Ovis aries: one gene and its partners. The protein of the gene in region 2 purifies or fractionates together with the protein of the main gene of each other region. This does not show direct contact. Links are inferred from orthologs where the notes say so. Each region holds a gene or a part of one and is shown on either strand. Other genes may lie near its edges. The genes, in order: TTK, CDC27, NEK2, MAD2L1, ANAPC11, CDH1 and ANAPC7.

Evidence for each region.
Region 1: the proteins of CDC27 (region 2) and TTK purify together in Homo sapiens (affinity purification with western blotting; 3 studies listed by BioGRID). This does not show direct contact. The link is inferred for Ovis aries from reciprocal best matches to the Homo sapiens genes CDC27 and TTK.
Region 3: the proteins of CDC27 (region 2) and NEK2 purify together in Homo sapiens (affinity purification with mass spectrometry; 6 studies listed by BioGRID and IntAct, with this or other methods). This does not show direct contact. The link is inferred for Ovis aries from reciprocal best matches to the Homo sapiens genes CDC27 and NEK2.
Region 4: the proteins of CDC27 (region 2) and MAD2L1 purify together in Homo sapiens (affinity purification with western blotting; 29 studies listed by BioGRID and IntAct, with this or other methods). This does not show direct contact. The link is inferred for Ovis aries from reciprocal best matches to the Homo sapiens genes CDC27 and MAD2L1.
Region 5: the proteins of CDC27 (region 2) and ANAPC11 purify together in Homo sapiens (affinity purification with mass spectrometry; 8 studies listed by BioGRID, with this or other methods). This does not show direct contact. The link is inferred for Ovis aries from reciprocal best matches to the Homo sapiens genes CDC27 and ANAPC11.
Region 6: the proteins of CDC27 (region 2) and CDH1 purify together in Homo sapiens (affinity purification with western blotting; 4 studies listed by BioGRID and IntAct, with this or other methods). This does not show direct contact. The link is inferred for Ovis aries from reciprocal best matches to the Homo sapiens genes CDC27 and CDH1.
Region 7: the proteins of CDC27 (region 2) and ANAPC7 purify together in Homo sapiens (affinity purification with western blotting; 23 studies listed by BioGRID and IntAct, with this or other methods). This does not show direct contact. The link is inferred for Ovis aries from reciprocal best matches to the Homo sapiens genes CDC27 and ANAPC7.

What each region holds. Positions count from the first base shown.
Region 1 is NC_056061.1:6,999,848-7,003,347, reverse strand, and holds part of TTK (dual specificity protein kinase TTK), read right to left. Parts: intron 2,332-3,500; coding exon 2,109-2,331; intron 1,749-2,108; coding exon 1,642-1,748; intron 1,264-1,641; coding exon 1,120-1,263; intron 9-1,119; coding exon 1-8.
Region 2 is NC_056064.1:45,985,436-45,989,432, reverse strand, and holds the start of CDC27 (cell division cycle protein 27 homolog), read left to right. Parts: upstream 1-1,197; 5' UTR 1,198-1,306; coding exon 1,307-1,333; intron 1,334-3,997. UniProt on the Homo sapiens protein: Component of the anaphase promoting complex/cyclosome (APC/C), a cell cycle-regulated E3 ubiquitin ligase that controls progression through mitosis and the G1 phase of the cell cycle.
Region 3 is NC_056065.1:71,252,223-71,256,518, reverse strand, and holds the start of NEK2 (serine/threonine-protein kinase Nek2), read right to left. Parts: upstream 2,801-4,296; 5' UTR 2,710-2,800; coding exon 2,614-2,709; intron 1,412-2,613; coding exon 1,194-1,411; intron 913-1,193; coding exon 672-912; intron 1-671. UniProt on the Homo sapiens protein: Protein kinase which is involved in the control of centrosome separation and bipolar spindle formation in mitotic cells and chromatin condensation in meiotic cells.
Region 4 is NC_056059.1:5,759,206-5,762,428, reverse strand, and holds part of MAD2L1 (mitotic spindle assembly checkpoint protein MAD2A), read right to left. Parts: intron 2,002-3,223; coding exon 1,881-2,001; intron 480-1,880; coding exon 376-479; intron 1-375. UniProt on the Homo sapiens protein: Component of the spindle-assembly checkpoint that prevents the onset of anaphase until all chromosomes are properly aligned at the metaphase plate.
Region 5 is NC_056064.1:50,493,498-50,496,260, forward strand, and holds the end of ANAPC11 (anaphase-promoting complex subunit 11), read right to left. Parts: exon of another isoform or gene 848-2,763; coding exon 702-847; 3' UTR 501-701; downstream 1-500. UniProt on the Homo sapiens protein: Together with the cullin protein ANAPC2, constitutes the catalytic component of the anaphase promoting complex/cyclosome (APC/C), a cell cycle-regulated E3 ubiquitin ligase that controls progression through mitosis and the G1 phase of the cell cycle.
Region 6 is NC_056067.1:35,666,031-35,669,530, forward strand, and holds part of CDH1 (cadherin-1), read left to right. Parts: intron 1-820; coding exon 821-965; intron 966-2,514; coding exon 2,515-2,690; intron 2,691-2,963; coding exon 2,964-3,092; intron 3,093-3,500.
Region 7 is NC_056070.1:54,330,491-54,333,990, reverse strand, and holds part of ANAPC7 (anaphase-promoting complex subunit 7), read left to right. Parts: intron 1-1,349; coding exon 1,350-1,469; intron 1,470-2,939; coding exon of another isoform or gene 2,940-2,979; intron 2,980-3,043; exon of another isoform or gene 3,044-3,202; intron 3,203-3,500. UniProt on the Homo sapiens protein: Component of the anaphase promoting complex/cyclosome (APC/C), a cell cycle-regulated E3 ubiquitin ligase that controls progression through mitosis and the G1 phase of the cell cycle.

The DNA of each region.
Region 1 (3,500 bases), on a different chromosome or scaffold from region 2:
TGTAGATGCTGTAAACATTTTGAAACTGTAATTAAATTTGTAAAGACATAAGGAATACACACACACAAAAAAATCTCATACATAATACTTTAACAGTCAACTCATAGTAAATATTTGTCCCTAAATAAGATATTCAGATATGAAGATGCTGTAATGCTAATTCTCCAATGATACTTCATAATTGTTTCATAATTACATAATTGTTTACCCAGAGTAAAGGCACATTCCTTATTTCTAACAGCAAAATGTGATTCGCTCGCTTGCCTAGATCAAGTTTGTTTGGTTGCTATTTATTTGGCTGCCTTGGGTCTTCATTACAGCACGCGGGATCCTCACTGCGTCATGCAAGATCTTCCCTTGCGGTGCGCGGGCTCCAGAGAACCCAGGGCTCAGTACTTGAAGCTCACAGGCTTAACTGCCCCACAGTATGTGGGATCTTAACTCCCTAACCAGGGATGGAACCTGGGTCCCCTGCGCTACTGGGCAGATTCTTAACCACTGGACCACCAGGGGAGTCCCTGTTTGTTTTCTTAATTGAAATACAGTTGATTTACAGTGTTGTGTCAGTTTCTGGTGTACAGCAAAGTAATTAAATTACACATACATATACATATATATATATATACACCTTTTCATATTCTTTTCCATTACTATTTATTGCAGATATTGAATAAAATTCCCTGTGCTATACATTAGGACCTTATTGTTTTAAAGTGTATTTTTTTTTTTGTAGATGTCAATTTTAATTTATTTATTTTTTGGCCATGCTTTGTGGCATATGGGATCCTAGTTCCCCTACCAGGGATTGAACCTGTATCCCTGCAGTGGAAGCAGAAGTCTCAATCTCCAGACCACCAGGGGAGTCCCAGGACCTTACTGTTTTTACTGACTTGTTTTAAGGTGTTACTAATTAGAGTTTAACTAGGGAAAAAAAAATGCCATTAAGAGAGTAATGACTTTGTTACTTCTGCAAGTCTTACCGCCTTTACATCTAAAACTTAACCTTAGATTTTGATCATTCTAAATAAACAATATTTTTCTATAAAATATTATCCTGAATCCCTTTTTTTGTAGGACTAAACACCACAGAAAAGTATTAGCACACACAAACACATTTACCAGATAAACTCTTCCTTTCCTCCTCTGAAAGCAGCTGCTTTTTCTGAAGATTTAAATTCCGAATGGCAATTTCCAGCATTTCAAGTGGCACTGCTCCACATTCCACAGCTTTATGAAGAAGTTGCTTACTTTTTTTGAAATTACCTAACAAAGTAAAAAATACGTCATTTTAATTCAGCAACCTTTACTCCCCAGATACATATTCTTCAGAACCTAGGAAAAAAATTTTAAAGTCTCAGGCAAAAATATTTATTCCAAGTCTCACACATTTTATTTATAAGCAAACAAGCAATTTCTCACTTCTGGTAACAATTCATGTTAAACAGTTTAACTTGTGTAATGTGCAAGTGAAAGGGCTAGTATAACAAATATTTCGTACACTTACGTAGCATCCTTCCCTGAATTTTCATCTGACCAACTTTCATGCCTTTTGCCTCATTATTTCTATTTCACACACATGATTTAAGTTACAATAGGAAGTTATCTTTTACTTAATATCTGGACTTGACATTTTCAGATTACCTTGTGATAGTTCAAACTGTGCAAAAGATATATGCACGAAAGCAAATTTCTTGCAGTTTGCTCTGGCCATTTGGAAGTAGTCACGTGCATCATCTGGCTCTTGAATACTGAAATAAAGATTTCAGAGTTAAGTTTTAAGGAAAAAAAACACAGTTGCCTGTTTGATAACTCTTCATCCTATTTCCCAGAAGACACAGAATATTGTTTTCTGTCTGTAAAATTAAATTAAAAGTTAATTAAAAAAAAATTTTAGGTGGAGTCTAGAGTATGTAATTTTTGTGGAAATATGTACATTGTAAAGAAAGTTTACAAATTCACTTGTTAATTATAAACAAAAAGACTTGGTAAAAAAAATATTAAACTTCTTACAATAGTTCTGACAACATGTTTTCATTTTACCTTTGGGTGATGTAGTTATGTGTTATGTAATGTAGTTGGCTGAATACAATTAAAATGCTAATACTTACGCTTTTAGTTCAGCAAATCTCACTTGAATCCTAGCAAAACTCTCATTTTGGCCATATTTATCTGGAGGAAGTGCTTCAATTGCTTGGTTGTAATGACCAATCAATTTGTTTAAAAGGGCATCATTTAAAGGGACACTGTTTTTCTCCAGTTTGAGCAACAAATTCAACCAATCCTCTGGGTTGTTTGCCATCATCATTATTTGGTTAACAGTTCCTGAGTTATCTGAATAAGGGACAAAATATAGCAAAAAAAGAAAGTCAAAAAACAAATGCCAAATTGCACTTTTCTTTCAAATTACAGGTAATCATTTATACTCTCAGTACGAATGCACACAAACTCCTTAAAATATTTTTTAAAACTTTAACAATTCATGTAAATGTAAACAACTTATTTACTGCATATATATCTTTTAAGAAGGTATGTTTTACTGTAAAAAGCTGCATATTTTGAAGAAAAGAGAATTTGGAAATGTTTATAAGTAGCTTTAAAATACCATATGCAGTCTCAGAAAACTATCCTGTAGCAGCCTAACTTTACTTTAGCATCCTACCAAGTCAAAGAAAACCTTAGCCTCTCCTACCACCACCAGTACCAACTTTCCTGGAAAATTCTTCATCAATGACTCATTAAAAAGTTAGAAACTGTATGGTCCTAGCCCTAACATAACCTTCTTTACAACCTTATCCACCCAATATTATCTCCATACTCCTCAATTCACTTTTCAATCAATCAAACAAAACCAGTTTACAGAAGATAAGCAGCTCCTATGGTCATTTTCTTCTCCTTCCAAGTTTCCCACATTTCTCCGTAATTTTCACATTGTAATTTACTTTTAATTTTCTTTGGTGTTAATAGATTTTAAAAGACAACATGATTTAATGTCAGTGTCCTTGTCAGGTCACTTTAGTCATTACTAAACATTATTAAATTTAGATTTTTAAGAGAAACTATCATCCCTTCTATTAGTTTGTTACCTTCAATAAGGGCTAAATATTTCCTTTTACAAACAAAATTACTGCTTTTGCTTTTTACTAAAACATAACAGATTCAGAACTTTGTTTTTACCCATAATCTGTTCTGATCTTAACTTCACTTTCCAGTTTCATTTCCCATCACTTCCCTAACAAATTTGTCTTCAAGTTTTCTAAAAAAGTCTTATTATTTCTCATGCACTGTGCTCTCTCTATTCAAAACTTCCTGTCTCTATTATGTCAGTAGTCATTTGAGCTAAACATGCATTACAATGCAGCATGGTAAATAGGTAAATTCCTCTCATCTAGAAACAAGGTTTAACCTTACTCAGTATTATAATGTCTTATATCCCACTTATCAACGTGTTACATATTCAGTTTTGAGCAAGCTAAGGATTTTAAATAAGGACTCATCTACCC
Region 2 (3,997 bases):
AGCTTTAGCATCAGTTGTTCCAATGAATATTCAGGACTGATTTCCTTTAGGTTGGACTGGTTAGATCTCCTTGCAGTCCAAGGGACTCTCAGTAGTCTTCTCCAACAGCACTGTTCAAAAGCATCAATTCTTCCAGGCTCAACTCTCTTTGTGGTCCAACTCTCACATCCATACATGACCACTGGAAAAACCATAGCTTTGATAAAATGGACCTTTGTTGGCAAAGTAATGTCTCTGCTTTTCAATATGCTATCTAGGTTGGTTATAGCTTTTCTTCCAAGGAGCAAGCATCTTTTAATTTCATGGCTGCAATCACCATCTGCAGTGATTTGGAGCCCCCCCAAAATAAAGTCTCTCTCTCAGAGACTTTCTCATCTTAACGCTAATTTCCCTTTCCTCTCTTCTGGATTTTTACATCACTTATAATGGGTATCACATAATATAACATTCTTTGTTACATTACTTTTCCGTTAAACAGACCGTAATCTGAGGAGAGGGGTCAAATTGAATCTTTAAATAGTGGCTGCTGCTGCTGCTGCTAAGTCGCTTCAGTCGTGTCCGACTCTGTGCGACCCCATAGACGGCAGTCCATTAGGCTCCCCCGTCCCTGGGATTCTCCAGGCAAGAACACTGGAGTGGGTTGCCATTTCCTTCTCCAATGATAAAAGTGAAAAGTGAAAGGGAAGTCTTTCCAATTTCCTATTTCCCTTTGAGCCATGAATAAGAGTTCAGGAATGGATAAATGACATAAACTTAACCGACAGACATCTCTTAATTAATTAAAATCAGCCCCAAACTCTTGAGTTTAACCCTCTGCTTAATCCCGCACCAATTAATCCAGCAAGCTTGAACGGCGAATCAAGATTGAAGCCTGGCCACGTAACGCTCCCGGCCGACTCCAGCACGCCACGCCCAGCCTATTGGTTACCGATTGGGCGTGCCCCTGCCCAAGGGCCGACGGGGCGTGGCGTGCGTGAGTGAAGGCGTGATCGAGAAGAGGAACATACGCTTTGGATCACGCTCGGTCGTCTCCGGTACTCCTCGACAACTTCCGGCAACGGTGTTCTCCTCCGCCGATTCACCTCGGGTATTTCCGGTCTCCTTCGGGCCTTTCCGTCTGGCTCCCGCGCGCGTCTCTCCACTTCGGGTTTTTCCGTGTCCCGCTCGGAGGTACTCGGCTCTCGCTCGGCCTCCCCCATCCCCCGGTAACGGTCGCTGGTGAGTTTAAATGAGCCGGGGCTGGCCGGGCCGGAGTCGCTACGGGGGGGGCCTGAGGCACTGCAGAAAGTGGGCCTGAACCTCCAGGATGACGGTGCTGCAGGAACCCGTCCAGGTAATGGTAACCCTCTTCCCTGAGGCTTGGCTCGCAGCCTCGGTCGGGAAGCGGCGTATGGCCACTTCGCGGCCTGGTGCGGCCTAGGCCCTGCTGCTTCTCCCGCTTCACCTGACGCCGGCTCCTGCCAGTCTTCTCGTCAGTTCCGAGGCCTTGCCCGCAGCCTCAGCAGCGTTCCCTCTGGCCCTGCGTTACTTCTTCCCCGGGTGTGAGTGGAGTTCGGCGATAATCCCTCCTTTTCCCTCCGGGCCAATGTCGGGCGAGCCCCTCCTGTCAGCCCAGGGGCTGGGCCCGGGCCCGGGTGAGCGATGAGGGGCCGAAAACTCGCCCCAGGTGCTCTCTTGCCCAAGGATGGTTGGGACGCACATTTGATCAGCGCCTGTACGATCTTCATAATGGTGGGGCAAGTTTGCGGGGCGAGTGTTGGTTTTGTTTTTGTTTTCTAGGAGAAAGTGGAGGGAGGGTAGGATCGGTGTTTTTAATACTGATTTCTGTTTTGCTGACAAACTGTCTAGCCCACGTTGCCTTTCCTCGTTCACTCAGTTTCCCTCCGGACAATGATCTGCGAAGAGAACCCCAAGGCCCAGTGCAGAGGCGCAAGCACCTATACAAGGGGAGGGGTTGGAAACAGCAAATCGGTTTTTTCCATGACCTGTGATGGGGATCAGGAGTGTTTTACTGTGCATGTTTATAAGGCGTTCAGGAAATGAAAGACAAATCATGATTTTTCCATCCATACTACACCAAGGTTTGCTTTGACGCACAGTGCTCTGTTGGCATGTAAGAAAACCCTATTGGATTTTAAGGGTGTGATGCGGTGCCAAGTCATTTCCCCCTCCTGCCATCTGAAGAAACTAAATCTTTTGTCCCTTGGTGATGGACCAGGTCTGGGAGACTTTTTACCCTATCATATGATCTTTGACTTGATTAGAAGAGTTGACCTCTATCAGCTGATGTCATTGAGTCATGCACTTTATTTTGAAAGCAAACCGATTTTAGAAATTGCTTCATGTTACTCTTAAAGACCTGTGATATCAAATAGTAAAATATTTTACTACATCACTCCTTCCATATTTCTTTAATTTTTTTCATCACAGGATGAAATACCAGTTACTCCTAGTTGGCTCTTTCTTTAGCTGTTTACATGTAGCAGCTATTAATTTTTTAATTAGTGTAATGTGGGATTCTGTCTTCTGTACAGAATTGTACCAACAGTTCTGTTTGTACATTATACTGGTGCTTTCAAAGCTGTTTCTTTCCATCCAAATTTACTAGTAAAGAGTCCCTTTTTAATTTTTTTTTTTTGAGACCTAAGGTGAAATTGTAAGTTGCTATCTATACCTTCTAAAATGGATAAGCAGATTACTCAAGTTGTTTAATTTCTGTTTCATGTTTTTGTTATTTTGTCTTAACAATTAATGATACCTTTGCCTTATAGATATGGCTTCTAAGATGATAAACTAGTTTTATGGATAGCCTGTGCATCTGTGGCAAGTCACTTCAGTCGTGTCTGACTCTCTGCGACCCTGTAGACTGTAGCCTGCCAGGCTTCTCTGTCCATGGGATTCTCCAGGCAAGAATACTGGAGTGGGTTGCCATGCCCTCCTCCAGGGGATCTTCCCCATCCAGGAATCAACCCTGTGTCTCTTACATCTCTGGCATTGACAGGCGGGTTCTTTATAACCAGAGCCACCTAATTTGCATAAAAGCATGGAGATAAATATGTAGCCAATTCCTTGATAAAGATATTCCTTCTGTGATAAACACATCAAGTTTTCTGTTTTTCATTAAAGTACTCTTAGCAGTAATGCATTTAGATATTTTTAGGGCTCAAGAGTCAAATTTGTCTACTCCCCACACACAAGCCACTGACAGTGGTAATAAGTTTTAGGATATAATTAGGTGAGAATTTTGGTTCTAATTTTTAGTATAAGAAGCCATTCAAGAAGGGATCTAGAGCAATAGGAGAACAATCAACACTGGCTTTTTAAACTATAATAAGTGATTGCTTGTATTTGTAGAGGAATGAGAGTAAGTTGGAAAGGTGTGTCCTTTTGAGGGTTGTCTCAGGGTTTGAAGTGTTGTTGCTGCTGCTGCTGCTGTTAAGTTGCTTCAGTCGTGTCCGACTCTGTGCGACCCCATAGACGGCAGCCCGCCAGGCTCCGCCGTCCCTGAGATTCTCCAGGCAACACTGGAGTGGGTTGCCATTTCCTTCTCCAAAGCATGAAAGTGAAAAGTGAAAGTGAAGTCGCTCAATTGTGTCCGACTCTTAGTGACCCCGTGGACTGCAGCCCACCAGGCTCTTCCATCCATAGGATTTTCCAGGCAAGAGTACTGGAGTGGGGTGCCATTGTTATTAGGCATAGAAAAAAGTTGAGAGAAAAGATGAGCAACTGAGTTTTTCTTTTTTTTTAAAGCTTAAACATGGAATACTCAGTTTGATATACCATGTAAGCCTAAATATAAGCACTTCTTCCAAATTATCTCTTATAAAAAAGTATTACTTTGAGTCTTCAAAAATCTCTCCTATTATGAGGCAGAAATTCTGTCATTTATTTAATTTTTAAAATAACTATTTGGGAAGGAATAATTGCTAGCCTAAGTGACTTGAATCAGTGCTAATTTGAATGTGTATAAAATCCACCTGATGAAATTGATTTTTAA
Region 3 (4,296 bases), on a different chromosome or scaffold from region 2:
AATCATCTAAGGAGTCTGCTAAAATACAGAGTCCAAAATAAAAAGGTAGGGGACAAAAAGATAAAAAGTTGAGTGCAAAGACCAGTCCAGAGGTCCTAAGTCCCTGGACTGGAGCCCAGGACTCTGCATTTTAAACTATCACTCCAGCTGAGAACAAGCTGGTGTCCAGGACCTATGGCACTTTGGAAGTACTGTACTTAAGGGCAGAGACAAAACCTATTTCATCTCTATGATCCCCAAGCTTAGCACGTGGCAGCCATTCAGTGAAAGTCTGACTTGCATTGCTGATATAGAAGTTTAGCGGTCTGGTGGTGGGACTTCCCTGGGGGTCCAGTGGTTAAGACTTCGCCTTCCAATGCAGGGAGTGCAGGTTTGCTCCCTGGTAGGGGAGCTAAGATCCCACATGCCTTGTGGCCAAAAAAACAAAGCATAAACAACAGAAGCAATACTGTAACACATTCAATAAAGACTTTAAAAATGGTCCACATCAAAACAAAAAATAATAATAATCTTTTAGTGGTCTGACGGTCCATTTGAAAATTATCAATTTAAAATAAAACAGTATTATTAATTCTTGGCTATTAGATATTACTAAACAAAGAAATAAATTTCCTTGCTTGAATGCTTAGCATTAAGATGTTTTAAAAGTATATACATTTTGAAATACTTACAGGAGACATGTAATAAGGTGTGCCAACAAATGTTTTCGCAAAACTTGTATCATGGTTTAATATTCTAGCTAGCCCAAAGTCTCCAAGCTTAACGTTCTGCTTGCCATCCAGAAAGACATTGGCTGGTTTCAGATCCCGATGCAGCACAGTGTGGCCGCCATCACTTCGTCTGTGACATTCCTTTAGGGCCAGAGTCAACTGAGCCATCACACGAAGAACAAACTCTTCATCCAAGTATTGTCTGAAATCAAAGCAGTTATGTAGCATGTATCTGCTGAATGAAACCATTACAAAGATGACAGGATGTGAATTATCTAGTTTTCTAAGTATACACATAGGGAAATAAATTATTTGGATATGAAATTCAAGTGTTGACTTACCAGGGATTTTCTAAAGTACTGTGGACCCACTGAACAAACACAAGACGACTCTTCCCCATTACTAAGTACTTTGTCCCTGATCCTAATATAGGATGTTTCCAGAAACAAAACTAGGCCCATTTAAGAGATGAATTTATCTTACCTTTCCTTGGTTCCCTTTGAAATCACACCAGCCAGGTCTCCTCCTTCGCAGCATTCCATGACAATGTACAGGGTCGTGTTGGTCCGGTCAATAATTCTATCATAGTAGCGGACAATGTTTGGATGTTTCAGCTCCCGAAGCAAATTCACTTCAGAAACAAGCATTTGTTTCTCAGTTTCTGTCATGGAGCCATAGTCAAGTTCTTTCCAAACTAATATCTGAAATAAAAATTTCCAAGGTATAAATGAACTCATTATAACTCCAAATTTTTCAAATTAAAAAAAAAAGTTACTTATCTAGTAAACAGATCATACAGTCACTATTTATCTAATTTAGTTTAATGAGCTGAGGACCCCTGAGTTTATTTCCATAACCTTCCCCTAATTTTTAAGCAGTGAATGATGCAACAGAGGGTGACGAGGGAGGTTAGGCCGCCCCCAACCCTCTGCCCTCAATGCCTAGTGGGAGGTTGGCAGAAGGTACTCTAATCAAAGCTGGAGCAAAGGCGATTGAAGTCCCCAACCATTCCAACTAGTCAAAATTTCTAGGGTAAGAGAACTTAGTAAAGACCCTTCCATCTGAGCTAACTTCCTTTCCATTATTTTTCTGTGTGGGTCTACCCACACACCTTGGGAGATATGAATCTAACAATGGGAATAATGAGTTGGTGATGGACAGGGAGGCCTGGCTAGCTGCGATTCATGGAGTCGCAAAGAGTCGGACACGACTGAGCGACTGAACTGAACTGAACTAAATGAATTCTGACTACAAGACATAAAAGTTCTAGGTTCTGATGGTTATGATAGAGAATTACATTTCTCTAAAAACAGCTCAGGAGTCAGCTACCAGTCACCAACAGAAGGCCCATGGCAGGTCAAAGCAGAAAAAAGGAAGAAAATGGAAGAGAATGGAAAAAAGACAGGAGAAGAAGAAATATACATATATATATACATACATTCTACTTGGCACATTTTATTAGTTTTACTTTGGCCACGTGATAAGAGCTGACACTGGAAAAGACTCTGATGCTGGGAAAGACTGAGGGCAGGAGGAGAAGAGGACGACAGAGGACGAGATGGTTGGAAGGCATCACCGACTCAATGGACATGAACTTGGGCAAACTCCGGGAGCTGGTGAAAGACAGGGAAGCCTGGCGTGCTGCAGTCCACAAGGTTGTAGAGTCGGACACGACTGAGCGACAGAACAACAACAACAAAGAATTAAGGCACAGATTCACAAATTTAAAAAAAAAAAAAAAAAAGGATGCGGCTTCCCATCCCTCGAGAGACCCAGGACAGACACAGATCTGGGGGAGAAGGCTGGCTCTTCTGAGCACCCTGCTTTTCAGATGCACACCGCCAGGCTCCCTGCTTCCTCTGGGCGGCCTGGGGGCGGAGGCAGGGACCAGGCCCGCGCTCACCTTGCCGTCGCTCTTCCTGCGGATCTTCTGGCAGCGGCCGTAGGAGCCGGTGCCAATGGTGTACAGCACCTCGTAGTCCTCCACCCGAGTCGGCATGGCGGGGCCCGCGCAGGACGTCTGCGGGCCGTATAGTCTCCTCAGAGCTCCAGCCCCGACGCTCGGCCGCCCTGATCTGCAGCCCCGGTTTAACCGTCGCGGGCCCCGACCTCGCAGCCTATTGGCTCGCGGTGAGGCCGCTTCGCCTCTCTAATTGGTTAAGAAGAACACAACACGCTGGGCATCTTGGGAAAAAGGTATCGCTAGGCAACCGCGTCGGCGTCTGTGTCGACTTCCGCTGCCAACCTCCAGGGAGAAAGGGGCGGAGCTAAAGCCCAAGGTGGGCTGGGGACCGAAAGCTGCAGCGAGTGGGCGGTCCCCGCCACCTTGTGCCTCCTCCGCTGAGGTTGCCGAGGCAACCTAAGTCCAGAGATCTTTCTTCAGTTATTAGCGCACAGCCTCAACCGACTGCCTTCTGACCTTTGCACTGTGACCTCTCACTCTCCGGCACGCGCCCTCCGCTCTCAGATTCCCGCCCCCTGAACCCGGGCGGGGTCATATACTAAATCCTGGGAGAAAAGCTGAGTGCAGAGGTGAAAAGTACCGGCCCTCTGTAAAGGGTGCGCGAGTGAGGCCGACAGTGCTGAGGGATTGTGCCAAGCACTTTACATGTATTGTCTGGTTTGTAATACAGGAATTAGCGTTATTTCCCATGAAGAAACGGAAGGGTAGAAAGGTCACAGTATTTGCTTTAGGTCCAAAAGCGAGGACTCAATGCAAAAACAGTGGATATTTATAGTAATGATTTAAAGTTTTCACATGACTTTAGGGTGCAGCCGTCCTAGAGAGAGTATATTTTTGAACACCAGACGTGTACAAAATCTCTAGGTGGAAAATGGAATATGGAAGTCCTTGATGTTTTGAAATACCCAGAAGAATATGGTGGTTCTATAAGATAGAGATGGGCTTACCTGGTAGCTCGGTGGTAAAACAATGTGCCTGCCAATGCAGGAGATGCGGGTTTGATCCCTGGGTGGGGAAGATCCCCTGGAGAAGGAACTGGCAGCCCACAATATTCTTGTCTGGGAAATCTTAGGGACAGAGGGGCCTGGTGGGCTACAGTCCGTGGGGTCACAAAGGAGTTGGACACAGCTTAGTGACTAAACAACAATGTAAGGCAGAGACAGTCAGGTTTACCTTTAAGACTTAAAATTTGTTGTTGTTGTTAGAAAAGACTACCTTTGCACTCTGAATAGATTATCTGAGGTGCCAGGCACATAAATAATTGAAACACTTTGTTGAATGCAGCCTCTTGGAGTGTGCACAAAAACCAACATTTTCAACTCACCCTGCCAGCTGGAATTGTCCCACTTTTACCTGGGATACTGCACCTGGAGCCTTCTATCTAAGGGGTGGATGGAGGAATTTATACACTACAAGAAGGCTAATACTTTGGCAATGCACAAATAGGTCAATTTTCTTTAAATATCTGTTTAGCATGGGATTAAAAGGAAACTGATTTTCTATTAATAAGAATTACAATCCTCTTTATGTTAAAAATGAGGAATTCATTACATGTACTGAATATTACATGATCGGAATTGCCAGCCAGATTTTTTTAAAGTAATATTCAAGAGCGTTGCGTTA
Region 4 (3,223 bases), on a different chromosome or scaffold from region 2:
TATATAAGCAAACCCAAAAATAAAAAAATCCGATCAGTTTCCAGAAAGACTGATTCCCCCATGTTGTTCTTTCTTGCTCCTCATTTTTCTGGCTGAATTCCCATCTGGAGCATGGATGCTATTCCACGTAATCCAAGTTATTCAGCCTCTTTTTCTCCACTAATCTTCCTACTACACTATCCGTTTCTAATCTCTCTATATATCTGTAATTAAATATGTATTTTTCCAAGGACGCCGACTCCATCCCCACCTTTGAATCACCCTGGATCCACCAGGGCTGGACCCTGGCATTTAATAAAGGGCTAATTCTTAAAATAGTAGCTTAGTCTTTTCCCTGACAAATTTAAAGTCAATGTGAAGTTGTATAATACTTACAAGAAACTTCCAACAGTGGCAGAAATGTTACTGTAGCTGTGATCTGTCTGATCACTGAACGGATTTCATCTTGGATAGCTTTCTGAGACTTTTCTCTGGGTGCACTATTGAAACCAAATCAATTTAAGTGTTAATAAATTATTTAAAACATTGGTAAGACTGATTAAATGTCTCCAAGATCAAATAAGTAATACATTAAAATGGAGTGTTTTTTTTTGGTAAGTTATATCATTAGGGCCTATATACCACAAGAGGCATATGCATTTTATTATTTATCATTCCAGTCATTTTCTAGGGGTGGTCTTAAAATCAGGTCATTTGGTATCAGATAATCAGAAAACTGGCCAAGTGCTTAAAGTTAGGAAAACTACAGTACCTTTCAAAAAATGAAAATTATAGTACCTAAAATATTTTGTTGGTGCATTTTTCCTAATGCTTAATTCCCTACTGCCTCAAAAAAGATATTAAATTAAATATCAAATTATTCTTATAAGCTAAAAATTTCCTTAAAAAACCCAAAGGCTTCAGAAGCAAACTACATTTCATTATGAAAAATGATTCTGAATTTACCAGTAAGCAAGCCTAGGACAATGCTAGACATGATCATATGAGCATTTCCCATTCAGGTGCTCTGGAAACTTTTTTATGAAGTGTCTTAGAAAATTTGGGGCATTCAATGAAATACAATAGAGCTGAATCTTAGGCTTGGGGAATCTAGGAAAATCCCTGATGGTTAGAAGTACCTTTAAACAATTCACTAAACGGACCACCAGGTACATACTACCATAAACACTGAAGGGTGAAATTCACCAATTTACACCATAGGCAATTATGTTAAAAGTACATTATCTACATAAGACAGTGAACTATTCTTTGCCACAGAAGACTAAGGATCAAATTAAACATCCTAGCCATTAAAAAGAATACATTTGAATCAGTTCTAATGAGGTGGATGAAACTGGAGCCTATTATACAGAGTGAAGTAAGCCAGAAAGAAAACGCTAATACAGTATACTAACACATATATATGGAATTTAGAAAGATGGTATTGATAACCCTGTACGTGAGATAGCAAAAGAGACACAGATGTATAGAACAGTCTTTTGGACTCTGTGGGAGAGGGCGAGGGTGGGATGATTTGGGAGAATGGCATTGAAACATGTATAATATCATATGTGAAATGAATCGCCAGTCCAGGTTTGATGCATGATACAGGATGCTGGGGGCTGGTGCACTGGGATGACCCAGAGGGATGGTACGGGGAGGGAGGTGGGATAGGGGTTCAGGATGGGGTACATGCGTATACCCATGGCGGATTCATGTTGATGTATGGCAAAACCAATACAATAAAGTAATTACCTCCAATTAAATAAATTTATATTAAAAAAATAAACATCCTAGAAAAAAATTGTACTTTATATGAAACTTGTTCCATATAATTAGAACTCATTTGGGAAAGAACATAAATTTAAAAACATACGAAAATGGAAGTAATTTCTACTTACCTGTCATCTTTTGCAGTCTTGTCACACTCAATATCAAACTGCCATCTTTCAAGGACCTCTCCACTTTCAATATTTGAGATGACTACCACCAGTTTCTGAACTGAACACTTGTATAACCATTCTGCAATATACAAAACAAGGCATCTTTTTTAGTTCACTGCATTACAAAGCAACTCTCCTCTCAAGACCAACTTCGTATCCTCAGCAAACTTCTCCCACTGCTACTTTCGTTCTCCTCCAAATTGTGCAGAAAATTTGCCCCATCAATGGCCTAGCTCCCGATTTCAGATTCTCAGTGTTTGTGCCAGGTATAGCACTGGGTGCTAAGACAGTGAACACGAGGTACTTCCATCGTAATCCAAGGGAAGGGTGAAGGAGATGTCATTAATCAAATCACAACAATAAATGTGAAATTATAACTGCTCTAACTGCTATGATGGTGCAGTTTCCTATGACATAATAGCGGTTACCTATGATGGTGCAACATATACTACAATTAAAGCACAGAATAGGAAATTCTGACTCGGGGGTTTGAGTTTTGTTCTAAGAGACAACCGTATATGTATGCAAAACAGGAAAGAGGGTATAGGTTTTAAAATATGAAATGATGGATTTATTTTGGCGGTGTGAGGTCTTAGTTGTGGCATGTGGGATCTCCCTGCTAAAGGTATAGGTCTTAGACACAAAACAGAGCACTGGATCAGAGGACTGAAAGGAGGCCAATACAACTGCAGTTTAAGAAAGGGAGGATGGACAAGGCTGGTCTGACAAGATAAATGGGCCAGACCACACGAGGTCATGAGCACCAAATTAAAGATGTGACACTCTTAAGAACTAAAGTGGTCATTACTGTGTTTCAAGCAGCATATGATGTGATTCAAGTTGTATTGGAAAACTATCCTTCTTGGCCTCTAGGCAACATCCACAGTTGCCTAGAGGTTTCATACCAAACAATCTGAGTGCAGCCGTATGAATGACTATGGGTGGCTTAGCTCTGAAGTTAATGAAAACGCAATGATGTAATCTGAAAATGAAGCTAGCTGAAACAACAAAACTTCCCGTAAACTGGAAGTAAACAGGGGATCTAGGGCACTAATTCATGCATAACTCCAACAAGAGCTAATAAAGACTTGGAGAAGATACACTGGTAGAGATGAAGCAGTAGACAGATTCAAGAGATTTCATGGTTAAAACTGTTAAGACTTATTGGATTACCTCAGGGTAAGGAAGAGGAATGAATCAGGGATAGCTCCCAAGTTTCTGATTTATATCAGTAGTCGGATGGTTGATCCAGTCACCAAGAGGAAAGAGAACTGAAATGGAGATGATCCTAAATTCAGTTT
Region 5 (2,763 bases), about 4.5 Mb from region 2:
AGGGGGGCTGAGGTGGAGCAGAGGTGCCTGAAGGATGTCCCAAGGGCTGACTTCCCTAGATGGGGAGACCCTCAGACACCTGCGGACACATGTCCTGATGTCAAGGACATTTTGGCCCTGACAAGGAGCTGGGAGAAAGGGACTGAGGCCACCGATCACAGCTGCCTCGACAAAGCCCTCTTAACACAGCCAGCACCTACTTGGGGACAGCTTTCCAGAGGGAGGAAGCATGGCAGTGCCTGCTAGCTGTGTCCAGCCAGGGTCCCAGCGACCACCCTGAAGAGAGGGGCCCCACCAGGCTCTTCCAGCCCGAGCCCACTCCTCCCACCCTGGCTCCTCTGGCTGATCCCTGGTTCAGTCTTCTCCAGGGGTGTGACTCAGGGCCTCTCGGCATCACATTGGGATGTTTATTCATGAGTTTTCATACTGGCGCACACAGCAGTATGCGTACTGGCTGCCTCAGCACCAAGAAAACAAGCAACTGCAGCCTCCGGCCAGGCTTAGGTGGTTTAATGAGTTTTATTTATTTGATAAAATGTCAACGTTGTGATGGGAGAAAACAAACGCAGTTCCAGTCCTCATTTCAACCCTGTCAGAGGCCAGAGGAGACTGTCCCCATGGAGGAGACAGCCACCCAGAGCCACTGCGGGGGTGAGGCCATCTCAGGGTGAGGGCAGGGGCATCGGGCAGTGCGGACGGCCTCACTCCTTGAACTTCCACTCCTGGCGGCACATGGGGCAGTGCTGCTGCACCTGCTGCGCGTTCAGCCACTTGAGGATGCAGTGCATGTGGAAGCAGTGTGAGCACTGGCCCCACACCAGCGGGCAGTCGTCACCCGGCACCTTGCCTGCGCGAGGGACGAGAGGACCTGTGAGTCGCCGAGAGCACAGGACAAGTCCGATGGAGGAAGCATGCCCAGGGTGGCCTCAGGGCTCAGAGAGGACAGGAATCTGGAAGGAAACCACAGACTCGGCCAAGCAGCCGCCTCTACATGAACCTCTGCAAAGACCACCCGGGCTGCTCCCGCCTCCATGTGGGAGCTCAGCAGCACGAAGAGCTCTGGCCGGGCCTGAACCCCCGCCCACTGGCCTCCCAGGGCCTGGGCCCATCTGCAGACACACCGCAGCTCTGCCATTTGGCACCCGTGATGCCAAGAAGGTTACATCAGTGTGTCAGGGCGCCTGCACAGGTGACCCGCCTCTGAGCGGCAAACCATTCCTCTTCAAGGTGAGGTGAGCCAGGGCCTTAGAAACTAGATGTCACCATCCCCAGGCAGTAGGGACCCAGTTCAGTACCAGGGAGCAGGTCGGGGACACAGGGGCTTATGGCCCAGCCCATCGGCCGCTGGGAGTGAAGTGGCACTGCCTCCCGTTTCCTCCCCATTTCTATCCTACTTGCGGCCCAGAGAACCTGGTGCTGGCCCTCCAGCCCACCTGCACGTGCTACCACTGTGAAGAGGGCCTGGCATCAAGAGAAACAAGTCTGATTTTTAAGAATCTAGAAAACCCCATCACGCAGCTGGTGCTGCCAGAGCACAATGTCCTCCCCCAGCAGGTAGGTCCCCATGAGCAGTGGGAGCTGCAGCTTGCTGCCGCCACCCTCTAGGGGGGCCATTCCCCTAAAGCATTGCCATGGGGCCCCTCATGCCTATCAATCGTGAGCCAAATCCAGAAGTCACTAGGGCACACAGTGCACCAGCCAGATAAGCTGGGGTAAACAGGAGACATCTTGTCCACGAAGTAGTTCCTAAGTGCTGGCCTGGTCACCTGTGGTCCTGGTCTTCTCTCTTGACACCAGACACAGGGACAGGTGACTGTACAATGTGTTAAAAGATAACACCACGGTGAAGCCACAGTGCTCTCAAGACCTAATGGAGCACCTGCTCTGAGCTGCACAGGGAGCTGGAAAACTGACCTGAGCGTTTGTCCAAACCTCACAGTGCTCCACAGTCTCTATCACCCACCGACATCCCAGGGACAGACAGGAGGCCACGTGACTCACGAGGGCAGCCGCCACTGCCTGAAGGGAGCATGCCAACCAGGAAGCTGGTGTGGGTGCCAGGTCTTAAATATCCTTCAAAGGCTGCTGAAAACCTGCACCTCCTTCCCAGTTTGGGAGCAGCCCTTGCCCCACAGTGGTACATTCACCCTATGGAGTCAGACAGATGGGCACTGCCATCTTCTTACTCTCTTGTTTGGGGCAGTGTTTCTCAATCTTTTTTTTTTTTAACTTTTTATTTTGTATTGGGGTATAGCCGATTAACAACACTGTGATAATTTCAGGTGAACAGTGAAGGGACTCAGTTATACATATACATGGATCTTTTCTCCCCACCAAACCCCCAATCTTTTAAAAGTAATCCTCTCTAAAACAAAACATCACTCCTTTTCTGAATCTTTTATGACAAAACCAAAAAACAATTTACTTGGCAAATACAAAACTATCTAGCTCACTCTGCTTCCCAGGCCAGGGTGGGGGGGTGAGGTGGACGGCCCTGTGCCAGGAGCCCACAGGGTGTGACACCTGATTTCTCTTGGTTCCCACCCCCACCCCACCCCCACCCAGGGTCTTTCCCACCTCAGCAGAACGACACTTGGAATCACGCCTAACACATTAGAGCCCTTGCAAACAGAGGATGCAAGAGGATGCGCAGGGGCCAACTAGCCTGCTGGCAGGGGTACCCTAGCCATCACGTCCATTAGTGGGGAATCTGACACCACCTTCCATGCTGACAGTGACTCATGCTAAGCGTCGGGATCCTCT
Region 6 (3,500 bases), on a different chromosome or scaffold from region 2:
ACAGGAGAACCTGGGAAAAACTAGGGGCTGTTTTTGTTAGGAATAAAGTTGGAGAGAGTCTCGAGGTATCAGACATGATCTTAGACCCAAGATGTCAACCTATTCTTGGGATTAAAAGTCCCTGACATAAAGGCAGACGGGCTTCCTTGCTGGCTCAGTGGTAAAGAATCTGCCTGCCAGTGCAGGAGACATAGGTTCAGTTTCTGGGTCAGGAAGATCCCCTGGTGGTGGAAATGACAACCCACTCCAGTATTCTTGTCTGGGAAATCCCATGGATAGAGGAACCTGGCAGACTACAGTCCATGGGGTTGCAAAGAGTCAGACACAACTTAGCTACTAAACAACAATGATGACATAAAGGCAGAGGATGGTGATGATGTTGGAGAACAAAAATCATTTCTGGGCCTTGAGAGCAGTGTGAGCTCAGGGACGTTGGGAGGTAATGCCTTGATGCCAAATGCAGAAAGGTCTTGGGGAAACCCTAGACTCAAGTGTCCAGAGTAGATCTGACCCTGCTTGGAGTAAGTCAGAGAGTCTCAGGTTTCCACCTTTATCTCCTAGCCCTGGTCCTCAGCCCCCATGTGGGCAATGGGGCCTTTGACCTGGTAGGTGTGTTCTCCAGCCCATGCGTCTTCCCATGTTGTAGTCTTAACCAGTGCCATGACCTCACTGAAGCAGCAGCATGTGTGTGGGATAAGCTCTGTGCTGGGGAGTCCTTACTTGAGTGGAAGGGAGTGGGGCCCAGTGGAGCCCACACTGCTCTGGTCGGACCCCTTCTCCCATGTCCTCTTCCCGAGTAACCCTCACTTGGCTCTTGCAGCTCTTCTCTCATGCCGTATCTTCCAATGGACAAGCCATTGAAGAGCCTATGGAGATCGTGATCACAGTGACCGACCAGAATGACAACAAGCCCCAGTTCACCCAGGAGGTCTTCAAGGGGTCTGTCCTGGAAGGCGCTCTTCCAGGTGTGTCCAGCCACGAGGAGCTCAACACCCACCAAGACAATTTAGATTCTTTGGACCGCCCCCCTTCCCCAAGTGTTGGGGCTGGCATTTGGGGTCAGGCCTTTCATAGGCGCAGAACTTCTTTGGAAGATAGTGTGTGTGTGTAAAATATCCTCCTGACAGAAACATGTAGAAAATGTCCAAGAGCAGTTTAAGGAAGGAGCAATTTGGACTTGCCTGGTGGTCCAGTGGCTAAGACTCCATACTCCAGAGATCCCACATGCCACAGCTAAGACTTGGGGCAGCTAAATAAATAAACAAATACAGAGCAGTTTAAGAATAGCCTTCCCTGATTAAGAAATAGATCCTTGGGGACTTCCCTGGTAGTCCAGTGGTTTAGACTCCACACTTCCAATGCAGGGAGTGTGAGTTCAAACCTTGGTTGGGGAACTAAAGATTCCCCATGCTGCGCAGCCAAGAAAAGTTAACAGATCTTGTTAAGAGTTTACGGCCCCTGTACAGTCCCTTCCTGATCACATTTTTCTCTCTGTCCCCTAAAGGCAGCCACTACCCTGACCTTTATAGGCTTCCCTTGTGACTCAGCTGGTAAAGAATCCGCCTGCAACGCAGGAGACCTGTGTTGGGAAGATCCCTTGGAGAAGGGAAAGGCTACCCACTCTAGTATTCTGGCCTGGAGAAGTCCATAGACTGTTCAGTCCATGGGGTCACAAAGAGTCAGACATAACTGAGCAACTTTCACTCTGACTTTTGTGATAATCATTCCCTTACTTTCATTCATCTTCTGATGTGTGTACTTAATGCTGGGTAACACCTTGTGAGTTTTGCTTACTTTTCTACACGGTGACAAACAGTTTTCTAAGGTGGTTGAACCAATTTACACTCCTACCAGCAATATACCTCATGGAATTGTAAGACTTCTTTTTGGCCAGTCTGTTGAGTATATGATTATATATCAGTGTAATGTAAAATGGCATTTCTATGATTATTAATGGAGTAAAGAAGCATCATATGTTTGCTGACCATTTGGGTTTCTTTACAACTTAAATGTTCAAGTCTTTTGCCCTTTTTTTTTTCTCTTGGGCTTTTTGTCTTTCGTCTATTGGTTCTCTCCTTCTCCCCACCCTCTGCCACCCCTCCCCACCCCACTGTTCGGTTTTGGGACTTTTACTTCCCCAACCAGAGATTCAACCTAGGCCCTTGGAAGTGAGAGCACACAGTCCTAACCACTGGACAACTAGAGAATTCCCTGCCTATTGATTCTTAAAGAGTTATTTGTCATGAACGTTATCAATATTTCCTTCCACCTTGAAGGCAGTGATCTTAGATGACCATTCTCTCAGGCGGAAATGTGGCTAGGAAGCGAATTGTGGCAATTTCTGGGGTTTTTCCTCTCTTATGCACTATTCATTTAGTGTATGAGACAGAGCAAAAATGTTTCAGTTGAACCAGGTGGGTTCTGGGAACACCATTCATTCATTTGGTAGAATGCTTTCTTCCTCCACTAAGCACTTTGGTCAGAATTTTGGAAACGAATCTTCTTTGCTTCCAGGAACCTCTGTGATGCAGGTCACAGCCACAGATATAGATGATGACGTGAACACCCACAATGCTGCCATCGGTTACAAAATCCTAGCCCAAGAGCCCATGCTGCCACACAACAAAATGTTCACCATCAACAAGGAAACAGGCGTCATCAGTGTGCTCACCACCGGGCTGGACCGTGAGGTCAGGGGTCAGGAGGATCCAGAGGGTGTGGAGGGCAAATAATGTTAACTCCATTTCCTGGATGATGTAAAACTCTGCCAAGGCTGGTCACCATTTAGCATGGTGATGGTCTGAACTTTGCATCTCAGAGTTTGTCTAGAGATTTGAGGCCAGGCAGGCAGGTGGAGTTATTGGTATTTAAGCAGATGAAAAAGTAATCTGTTTCTCTGCTGGGAGCTGGGTGGGATCTGATGTAGCTGTGGGTCCTGACTCGGCTGTGTTCGATCTCTGCAGAGTTTTCCCACATACACCCTGATGGTCCAAGCAGCAGACCTTAATGGCGAAGGCTTGAGCACAACTGCAACGGCCGTGATCACAGTCCTGGACACCAATGATAATGCTCCCAGATTCGACCCGACCACGGTAACCCTGCCCCTTCTTAGACAGTCTCCAAAGAAAGGTCCTTGGTTGTTTCCCAGTATCTCAGGGGTGAACCCTTAGGTAACTTTTCCCAGACCATTCAACTTCAAGCTAAAGAACAAGCAAGTTGAGGTGCCAGTTGTCTGTCATCGTCAGCCTGATGCCTGTTGGCCTAGGTTTCTGAAGCTGCAAAATGCACCTCCTGAATCCATGTCCTCATATTGGGCATCTTAGTAGCAGATCTTACCAGGTTTTATCTATTGAATAAATATCCTCTGGGTTTATACCAGGCACTGTCTTAGACACTGGGCATATTATCACAAACACAGCAGACCATCATTCTGTTCTCATGGAGCTTAGAGTCTAGCTAGGGAGACATTAGACAACTAATAATTGTGTGTAATTTTAGTA
Region 7 (3,500 bases), on a different chromosome or scaffold from region 2:
AAGAAACTACAAGCAAAAGTGTTTATCAGTAGGATCTAGTTATAGTGTAGCCCTAGGATGGGATATTGAGGAAGTGAAATATAGCATTGTATGCGCTGATTTGGAAAGGCCTGTATATATTAGTAAATAAGCTTTTAAGCAGTGTGTTTACTCTTTCTGTTTAAAGGTGATAGTTATTTTTTTGGCCACACTTTGCTACTTGTGGGATCTTGGTTCCCCAACCAGGGGTTGAACCTGAACCCACCCTGGCCCTCTTGGCCGTGAAAGTGCGGAGTCCTAACCACTGGACTGCCAGAGAATTCCCTGAAGGGGATAGTTTATAGACATACATCCTGCTATATGCCTAAAATATATATGGGTAATATACATGGAAAATTTAGCATATGTGTGTGAAGAAAATTAACAAAACTTTATAGAGGGGGGGAACCTTGACTTTCAGTTTGAACCTGTCTTTAAATTGTACATACAATTTACATTTAAAAGGAATATCAGAATGAACTGAAGTGAAATTATAAATCATGTTCTGTATTTTTCCACTAAAAAAAAAGACAGAGTAATATAATTGCTTTTTTTTTTAGTGCCTGTACATTTTTTTCTTGTTTTATTTCTCTTTATGTAGAGCCTTTGTTCTTTGTTACTAAAGAGCTGATTGCCAGGAGTTGTTTTCTGACCCTGAAGTCATGTGTATTATCCACACAGAATAATTCATAGAAGTAACTTTTGGGGGGCATTCAGTATGCTAAGCCCTATGCTTATTTAATCTTGAAGGAGTTTTTTAAAAATTGAGATACAGTTTACAACATAATTTTCACAGTTCAGGGGTTTTAGTATTTTCACAGAATTGTGCAACCACCACCACTAATTCCAGAAGGTTTACATCCCTCTAGAAAAGCCTTGTTATCTCTCTAGTCCCTGGAAATCACTGACCTTTCTGCCTCTGTGGGTTCACCTATTCTGGACCTTTTATATATGGAATCATGCAGTGTGTGGCCTTTTGTGGCTGGCTGCTTTTACTTAGTATGTTTTCAAGGTTGATCCATATTATGGCACATAATAAAGAAGCAGTTGTGTATTCCTTTTTGTTGCAGAATAATATTCCATCGTGTGGATGTGCCATATTTTAACTGTTCATTAGTTGGTGGGCATTTGTGTTGTTTCTGCTTTTTATCATTAATGATGCTGTGAACATTTGTGTGCAGGTTTTTGTGTGGACATAGGTTTTCAGTTTTCTTGGCTTGTGTACACAGAAGCAGAATTACTGGGTCATATGGTAATCATGTTTAACATTTTGAAGAACTGCCATACTTCTGAAGTAATATTTTGAAGAGATGTTTTCATTTCCTCTTAAGTGTCTTCCATCTGAAATTGAAGTAAAATACAAAATGGCTGAATGTTATACAATGCTAAAACAAGATAAAGATGCCATTGCTATACTTGATGGGATCCCTTCAAGACAAAGAACTCCCAAAGTAAGTTGAATTAACAATTTGGTTACATACTTTTCTCTTCCCCTGTCCTTCCAGCTGTCTTCCTCTGTGTTTTCAGGGACTACATCTGAACATTTTACAAACCTTGTCTCTTATTCCCACTTTGTTCCCCTGTTCTCCTTATTTAGAGAGAGGAGTGGCTTTCTTATAAGACCCTGAAAATGCTGCCGAGGAAAATGGTAGCTGGAGAGTACAACGTGTGTTTAATTATTTTGTTTTTCTTATTGTAGGAAACATGATTTGAATATATTTCCAGGTAGCAACAGTACTTTTTAAGAATCTCATTTTTTGCATTCCGTAGGTATGCCCATTTGATAATGTGTATTCCTTTTATTTTCAGAATTAAAACTTCAAGATTCTTTGTACGTGTTTGTGTGTAGGATATTATTTGTGTTTTATTTGGCAACAATAGTATATAGCACACCTCCAACTGAGATCAGAAGATCTAGTCTCTTGCCTTTGCGTTTAGGGCATACAGGCAGTGTGTGGTGAGCTTGGGCAAGTTAAAAATCTGGCTTTACTTTTTTCCTTGTTGAGGATGATAATACTTTCTCTGGTATAAACTAAGTTCATGTATGTGAGAATACTTTTTAAAGTATTATTCTATAAGGAGTATTAGGCATCTGAATACAGGTTTTCTTGAAGTCCAGTTTAGAAGAACAATGAAAATCTTAGCTCTTTGGAGTGAAGTCACATCATTATTTAATATTCTAACACATACTTTCATGTCACCTACCTTCCTCTCTTCATTGAAAAACTGTGCAGTGTAGTTAACGATAGGAACTTTTGCACATCTTCCCTGCCATTAAAAGAAAAGGAATTATAAGCAGTAGGGACCAGGTGTATTTAGTGTTTTTTCACCCAAGTGTTACTGAGTTTTAAAAGTAATCACACTTGATGAGAACATGTTTAAGCATCTTCTCATGTTGAAGATTTATTTAATATTTTCTGAATTTTAAAAATTAAGCTATTTCTTCATATTTTATGGTGATAATTGTTATTTAAAACATTTGTAAGTATATTATAGACTAACCTATCTCACAATAAGCTGGACACTGTATACTTAATTATATTCTGGTACGCTATGAAAGTCTTACCCTAAGAGTAATTTTTTTGTATATATGAAGGGTGTCTTCGTTTGGAAAATGCTGCTTTGATTGTAAGCTTTGAAGGATACCTATTCCTTATCTTATTGGAAACATTCCATAATTTCTTCTTAATGACTTGAGGGAGTTTGGGGGCATTTTTAAAAATGAGTAATGGCCAAGCACGTGAGCCTTGTGGTATCCAACACTTTGGTGTTTACAGCTGTCATTTTAGGAAGAGCTAGAGGAGTCCACATACATTAGGAGTACATATCCTTCATAGAGCTGTTGTAGCCAGGAGCAAACAAAGATGTGTGCCTCCAACATAAACCTATAATATTTACAGTTTTTCTTTCTTGTCCGTTAGGGAGTTAACTGGCTTCTCAGTCTGTGTAAAGGACAAGGAAGTGAGTCAAAATACGTCTAAATGAACGTCTGTTAATGTATGGTAAACACCGCCACACATTCTTCACATTTTAAAGGAAAATTCCAGTGTGAGATTATCATGTCGTGGAAAATCTTCAGCTTTTAAGAGAAACATACCAAGAAACAATTTGTCACTCAGTTTTTAGAAAATGATGACTGCTTATATTTATAACTGGTGGAATGCAACTTAAATGATGTCCCCAAGTAAGGATCTATTTTTAAAAGGAATTGACTTTCTAACTAGGTGTAGTTCTCAAAATTCAAAGTGTCAGGTAGTTTAAAGGGAATTTTTAATATTTGTTGAGATAGAAGGCCCGTCAGTCATAGTTCATTAATAACAAGCAGTCAAGAAAGGATTTTAAATTTAATTCTTTTATTTTTTTCAAGTATTGACACCACTACTGGAGTTTTCCTTTAAGTACCTTTTTTTTTTTTTTTTTTTTTGCATTTCAACATAGCCTAAAATGAAAAATCTGAGGCCAAATAAAAAATAGTTTAATTT